2 linked regions of the Ovis aries genome follow. The protein of the gene in region 2 purifies or fractionates together with the protein of the main gene of each other region. This does not show direct contact. Links are inferred from orthologs where the notes say so. Each region holds a gene or a part of one and is shown on either strand. Other genes may lie near its edges. The genes, in order: RAP2C and RABGGTB.

Evidence for each region.
Region 1: the proteins of RABGGTB (region 2) and RAP2C purify together in Homo sapiens (co-immunoprecipitation; 3 studies listed by BioGRID and IntAct, counting the BioPlex papers as one, with this or other methods). This does not show direct contact. The link is inferred for Ovis aries from reciprocal best matches to the Homo sapiens genes RABGGTB and RAP2C.

Annotation. Positions count from the first base shown.
Region 1 is NC_056080.1:102,670,094-102,674,458, forward strand, and holds the start of RAP2C (ras-related protein Rap-2c), read left to right. Parts: upstream 1-1,555; 5' UTR 1,556-2,842; intron 2,843-2,959; exon of another isoform or gene 2,960-3,064; intron 3,065-3,182; 5' UTR 3,183-3,734; coding exon 3,735-4,007; intron 4,008-4,365. UniProt on the Homo sapiens protein: Small GTP-binding protein which cycles between a GDP-bound inactive and a GTP-bound active form. May play a role in cytoskeletal rearrangements and regulate cell spreading through activation of the effector TNIK.
Region 2 is NC_056054.1:52,028,583-52,031,688, forward strand, and holds the end of RABGGTB (geranylgeranyl transferase type-2 subunit beta), read left to right. Parts: intron 1-1,179; coding exon 1,180-1,333; intron 1,334-1,885; coding exon of another isoform or gene 1,886-1,889; coding exon 1,890-2,026; 3' UTR 2,027-2,460; downstream 2,461-3,106. UniProt on the Homo sapiens protein: Catalyzes the transfer of a geranylgeranyl moiety from geranylgeranyl diphosphate to both cysteines of Rab proteins with the C-terminal sequence -XXCC, -XCXC and -CCXX, such as RAB1A, RAB3A, RAB5A and RAB7A.

The sequences.
Region 1 (4,365 bases), on a different chromosome or scaffold from region 2:
CATTTTGCATATAATAATTCATTATAGTCTCACATTTAATGATTAGCTCCATTTTCAAGGTAAGGCATTTGAGGCTCAGGTGAAATCACTTGCTTGAGGTCCCACAGCTAGGAAGTGGGGGAACTGCTATTTTAAATGCTTGGCCCCCTCAATTTGGAGCCCTTGGCTCTCAACTGCCAGGCTGTGCTCTCGTCGCTAGTCTTTATATTCTCATTGCCTAATAAAAGTAAACTGGTGAACAACTGGAGTCTAATGAGATAATGTATGTGAAAATACTTTTCTAAGTATAGAGATGTTTGGAGAGGACAGGAGGAGCAGGAGGAGGCAGTTTAAATGGGGCAGGCCTGTCCACTGATCCCTAGACAGTTAGGATATTGGGTTTGGTTTGGTTTTGAGGAAAGGATGATCGACAAATTTTTTTCTCCCTTCAAATATTATGAAATTATATTTATTCCTTTTTTTCCCCAAGAATACCTTATTACTGTCTTAAAATTAAAATGACACACGGACATGAAAATCCTTTCACAATATCCTTCACTAGTAATTAATGACTTTCAGGTTTTAATGGCTATATAACTATATGTTGCACCACTCCCACATATTTTACACAAATGGGGGCAACTACATATTTGTCCCTGGTGGCTCAGTGGTAAAGAATCTGCCTGCAATGCAGAAAGCAAAGGAGACGCAGGTTCAATCCCTGGGTTGGGAAGATCCCCTGGAGGAGGGCATGACAACCCACTCCAGGATTCTTGCCTGGAGAATCCCATGGACAGAGGAGCCTGCTGGGCTACAAGTCCATAGAGTCTAAAAGAGTCAGACACAACAGAAGCAACTGAGCACACATGTATTTGTTCAGTATCTTGCTTTTCCTTCATCCTTACAATATATCTTGGCCATCTTTTCATATCAGCATTTACAAATATACCTTTCTCTTTTTAATAGCTGCACAGTATCCTATTTTTGAGTGTATACACACATTATTTTTTAAATCATCTATTGAAGGATGTTTAAGTTACTTCCAATTGTTTACTTTCCTAAACACTGTAATAAATACCCTTCCTAAGAAAGTTTAGAAGGATCTTCGGGCTATGTGACATCTGTCAACTCTGTAGTCGATGACAGTGACCCAAACAGACTCTGCACCGAAGGGAGAGGTATGTTTCATTGAGTAGAGAAACAAACAATTCTCTACAAAATACTGTAGCCAACAAGTTCAGAGATAGTAGAGTTGTCAACAGGTGAAGCCACCTTAGCAAGAGGGGCACCCTGTTTTGACAGTTTAGTAACAGCAGAGACTTGAGGCAATTACTCAGCACTGATTGTGAGATCAGAAGAGGAATTTCCCTGTCACAAGCAGGGCTGGGGCAGGGCTGTGGGTCCCCCAGACTGTCTGGAAACAGACAAGGATGGGCAGCAGAGCTCCAAATCAGGCAACAGCACGTGTGAAAAAAAAAGCAGTGACTTGTGAGGAAACTCATAATTCACAGACCAAATCTCTTCCAGCAGAGGGCAGTGCCTCAGATATCAGGCGGGACTCGGGCCAGCTGGAGCCAGAGCTGGAGACTTCGCGGGACAGATTACACCAGCTCTAGGCTGAGAAGAAACTGAACTGTCCTTTGGATACTGTAAGTGACACTGGGGAATACTGGAGAGACACATCAGGACTTCTCACTAATTTGCTTGTTTTCTAATATCTAACAATTGGGGCTTGGTATTATACAGTTGGGCCCTTAGGGCTTGCAAGGGGGATTTGAGGTCATTTTTAACTCCACTGGCTACTTACTCTTTCAGCTTTCTGTGTGCATGCCCGAGTCAAAAAGGGAGTGACATGCATAAAATATAACCTAGGCTTCTGACCCCGGGGCTCTGTGGATGTGACACAAAGTTTACAAATAGAAAGCAGAGGGAAAGATATGTAAGAAGTAACAATTTTATCTAAAAATAGAAACTTTGTGTGTTTAACCTTAGAGTCCTTTGAATTTCAAAGATTATGAAGCATGGTCATTAAAACAAAGTTTAACTTGGGAGAGCCAAGTTAAATTGCTGTGCCTTACAAGACAATGAAAAGAGTTAGTCTGCTGGCCTAAACAATTGCCAATCCACGCTTCCTCGCTGCGTAGCGGTTGGAATCAAAAAAGAGGCAAAACTGAGTTAGAGTACCTTAATAAAGTCTACTTCTAATCCTGCTGTTTTTCGAGCCTGGTGATAAAAAGGAAAGGAGCGACTCTGGCATTTGCTGGTGGAGACAAGGCAGATTTGCCAGGTGATAAAGTACCCTGTGTTGTGTGTGTGTTCAATTATTTGTCAGCACGGCTAAAGAAAACACACCACAGAGGAAATCAGAACCATTAGTGAAGTCGAAGGCTAGTTTGCACGCGTTCCTTCGAAAAATACCAAGTGGAAGGAAGACCAGCAAAGAGAATCCACTTTCTCGGCTGTTTTATTTTCTCTGCCGCTTCTAGTCCGGGGATGTTTGGCTTGTGCTCCGGGTCATCAGATCCGCCCCAGGCCGATCGAGTCTTCAGGCCGGACTGGGGGCCCTCTGAGACGCGGAGAGGCTTCCGCGAGGTCGGGGTGGGACTATCCACATCAGCAGCAGCAGAAACAGCAGCTGCGGGCGGCCGAGCGGAAAAAGGAGACTCCGGAGGTCCCGAGAGAGGCCCTTTGCCAAGGCCGTAGCCCAGACCCGAAACCGTCCCCGCTGTCTCGCCCAGCAGGGCGCGGCCCCAGCGCCACCCGGCTCGCCCCGGAGAGGTGGGACTTTCCCCACCGGAAGTGATCCTGTCCAGTCTCGGGGAACTGGGGCACCTCAACCAGTGTGTCAGGGAAACCCTTCCGGGTGTGTGCTGGGGGGGGGGGGGGGGGGGGGTGAGAAAAAAAAAGAGGTGGGTTCGCTTGGAGTCCCAGCGGCCGCCGCCGCCGCCGCCGCCGGACGGCCCCCGCCCCTTTCCCCTCTGCGAGCGGTAGCGCAGGGGAGGCGGTGAGACCGAGGAACCAGCCTCTCGCCATGGCCTTGGCGTGACAGAGTTTCCCGGGCGGCCGGGCGGGTGCGGACGGCAGGGTAAGCGGCGGCGGTGGCGGCCGGGTCCGGGTGGGAGCCGCAGGAGGCGGCCGGCCGGGCTGCCGGGCTGGGGCGGGGGTCAGGCTGGTAACGCGCGCCCTCTCCCCCCGCTTCACAGGCCGGACGACACCCGCGGCAGCCGCGGCCCAGAGACCCGCCCGGGCGACAGCGACTGGAGCGGAGCCCACAGGCCCGGGCCGGCTCGGCGGCGCGAGCAGGAAGCGGGGTCCCTGGGCCCCTTTGTGTGAAGGGCGAAGGAGGGGTGCGGGGCAGCCCCCGACCGCGGGCTCCTTGGACGCCTGTCTTCCCGCGGGGGTCCCCGTCGGTCCTGCGGCGTCCCCCCCTCCACTTCCCTTCGGGGGGCGCGTCTCGCCTCCCCCCGCCCTCCTCCGGGCTGCTCAGGGCTCGCCCTTTCCCCACGCCCCCTGCCTGGGCTTCAGTTCCTATAGGAAGGGCATTACCATCCCATCCCCACCCACCCCGACACTTCGCTCTTTCCCCTCCCCCTCCTTTAACTTCCTCTTCTTCCCCCGTCCGGCCCTCGGCTCCTCTGCACTCTCCTCCCGGGTTCGCAGATTTCCGCCCACCTTCCGCCTCTCCGAGCAGCGCCGCAGCGAGCGGGGTGTTATTTTTCCCTCCCTTTGGTAGGAGTTGGTGAAGGTGAGACTCAATGAGGGAATACAAGGTAGTGGTGTTAGGGAGCGGAGGGGTTGGCAAATCCGCCCTGACTGTGCAGTTTGTCACTGGGACTTTCATTGAGAAATATGACCCCACCATTGAAGATTTCTACCGCAAAGAGATCGAAGTGGACTCTTCCCCCTCCGTGCTGGAAATTCTGGACACCGCAGGAACTGAGCAGTTTGCTTCCATGAGAGATCTCTACATCAAAAACGGCCAAGGTTTCATCCTGGTTTACAGTCTGGTTAATCAACAGTCTTTTCAGGTAACCAAACCAAGTCTTATAATTTGTAAGAAGGGGGTGTGGTAATCCAACATTTACTTCTGGTTTGCTTGCACCGTGCGTAAATGACTGTTTTGCTTTTGAAAGTTAGACATGGCGCATTTTTGAGGTTACTCCTGGCACGGAAAAGTACCCAGTTGTTTCTGTAGAGAGGACTAAAGTCGCAACCGTCAACAAATGTTTTAAAGTTATTTTTAAGTGAAAGAGAAGTGAAAAAAGAAATGTCAGCTTGTGTATGTTTAGCCTGGACTATAGCCTTCTGAAGTTGCTTGTTCAACTCCACAAGCCTTCGTTAAGGTACTCAAGCAAACAACATTTAAAAGATAATCTCAGGCAAATA
Region 2 (3,106 bases):
TCATTTAAAAATATTTTTAAAGAAAAACTCGATTCTGTTTAGCTCTCCACATACTTTAAATTGGGTCTGTAAAGACCAGATAGTAAATATTTTTATCTTTGCCTCATGGGCTTGTTGCAGCTACACTGCTGCCCTGAAGAACATTGTTGCCACAGACAATAAAAAATGAATGGGTGTGGTTGTATTCCATTGAAATTACTAATGGACAAGTATGAGTTTCATAATCGTTTTCCTTTCACAATACTGTTTTTAAAAATCATTTACAAATACTAAAAGCTGTTCTTCGGTTTAGGCCCTTGAGCTAAAATATGATAAAGCATAGTGATGCTTTTATTCTGGGTCATTGTATTTTTGTGTAATTTTGCTTGCTTGTTACTTCTGAATAAGTTTAAAAACCATAAGTGGTACTTAGTTAAAATCCATGGAAAAATCTGGGCAACTTTTCAATAATTAGGAAATGGGTGAGGGTGGGGATAGCACGTACGATCTAGGACAGCTTTTAATGTTCTTGTGGATCATCCTGGGATCTAGTTGAAATTCAGTGTAAGGTGTGGGGTCTTCTGCATTTAAGTTATGATTTGATGAGCAAGGGTGATTTTATTTTTTAAACCAAGTTGTATACCTTCCTGGACAGCACTGAAAATGCTGCCCATGGCAGTGGAACGTATGTTGCCATAGTTGTAAGCCTTACTACCAGTTTCTTGGAAAAGGGACTGATGTAGGCATTCATTTCATATAGAAATTAAGGTGGGTGGATGGTTATCAGTGAATACTGAAACGAACATTTAGCATGGTTTTCTGTGGAATCAAGAATCTGCCTGCAGTGTAGGCAGCACAGGATACATGGTTCAATCCCTGGCTCAGGACGATCCCCTAGAGAAGAACATGGCAATCCACTCCAGTATTCTTTGCCTGAAAATTTCCATGGACAGAGGAGCCTGGTGGGCTACAGTTCGTGGGGTTGCAGAGTGAGACATGACTGAGCATGCCTGCATACTCATATTCTAGTTCTGTGGAATGAAGCATTTGATCTCTTTTCCAATGATTATCTTTTAATTCTAAGCAATTTTTGGATTTCAGTGTTTCAAACACTGCATTGTCAATATATCCCTTGATTCCCCTCCCACCCCAGGTATTTAGAAAATACGTTTGTGGCAACTTGTGGCTTTTTCCTCCTAGTTACCAGATGTATGCTATTCATGGTGGGTGTTGGCTTCCCTAAAGATAATTGGAAGGCTTCATTGGATTGATAGAGAAAAGCTCCGCAGTTTCATCCTAGCATGTCAAGATGAAGAAACAGGAGGATTTGCAGATAGGCCAGGAGATATGGCAAGTATACTTAGGACTGTTAATGTAACAGTTAAAATTTTCAGCGTTGTTCTAAGATTCTAAGGGTTCTAAATTTTTAAAACTAGGAATTGGTGGGGAACAAATAGTATTTTTCAAGTGTTGCTTTGAAAGGATGCTTTTAAAATGTCATTTAAAAGTGTACTAAGGTGCTTTTCTGGTGGCTCAGATGGTAAAGAATCTGCCTGCAATGCCTAAGACCCACGTTCAATCACAGTATTCTTGCCTGGAGAATTCCATGGACAAGAGCCTGGCAGGCTACAGTCCATGGGGTCGTAGATTCAAACGTGACTGAGTGATTAACACACAAAAAAGAGTGTATGAAAGATCTGAAACACATTTACAGTACTTATGCCTAAGAAATGAGTGTGTGTGCCAAGTCCTCTGTTTAAAAAGTGCAGTTTGAAACCATTATTTCAGAAAATTTTAAGAGAATATTTATATAGAGTGCAATGGGCTCCAGTATAATCCCTGTTCAAAAGCAGGGTTTTAGAAGTTTTCATTTTGTAATATTCTATAAATTCTTGTTTTTTAATAGGTAGATCCTTTCCATACTCTGTTTGGAATTGCTGGATTGTCACTTTTGGGAGAAGAACAGATTAAACCTGTTAGCCCTGTTTTTTGCATGCCTGAAGAAGTACTTCGGAGAGTGAATGTTCAGCCTGAACTAGTGAGCTAGATTAGATCCCTTGATGGAGAAGTTGGTTAATATAGTTTTTATTGTGTTTTAACATTTCAGTAGTTGAAGTGCTTAAAAACTTAACAAACTACCGTGTTAATATTTTGTACATGAATTGTGTTAATTTTAATAAATTATAATTATACATATTGTAAATTAAGATCTTTATTGTATCTCTCCTTCTGGAATGCTGTTGTTACTCTGATTTTTTTGTTTATGCTTCAGTATATTTTCTTGTATGTCTTCATAACAGCAAACTTGAACTCTCTTTAGCTGATGATTCTGATTTTCCTGGGTACTCCCTTGATATGTTATATATAACTATAGTTAATGTAGATTGGTCTTTGTCAGTGAGAATGTTACTGATAAAGAGTTGATGAACCACATAGGAATTAAAAGATGAAATAAAAATAAATGGCTGAAATTTGGGAATATTTCATGCTTGTGGTTAATGAGTTGGGTACAGAGTGGGTTAGGTAAATGAAGAGAATTCACTAAGATGAGGATTGCAATCTGGACTAACACTTTAGTCACTTTTTAATATTTTATGTCAGAATGCCAAGGGATTGTTGGCATTTTTTTCCTACCCAGTAAGGAAATACAAGCTGATACTTGACACACTAATCCTTGTGTTCTTGCAGAAAAAGTATTTTAGTGAGCATTTTTCTTGATGAAGTTGAAATTTGCTGAAGCAAGTTTGCAATAATAACCCTAAGAGTAAAGAATTTTACATGTGAATAGTGATGATTTCTTTTAACACATTGAGCAATGTCTGCTTTTCATGTTATTGAAGTGTCTGGCATTGTTTTTGACAGTTCACTAAGTTTGGGTTGAATTACCAGTGTTTCTGAAAGTTTGGGAGCCATTGAATGGCACACAATTTTATATAAGTGGTATCATTGGAAGTTTTGAGTACTGCGGTCACTGCACGTGGGTGACTGAGTGGTTTCATATTCTGTATCTGATTTCACAATTGAATGAATTCGGTAATGGACTGAATTCATCTAATGGTATCGAGTATTTTCTCAATCCTGCTTTCTCTACCATGTTGAATTACTGTGTCTATTCAAGAGAATCATG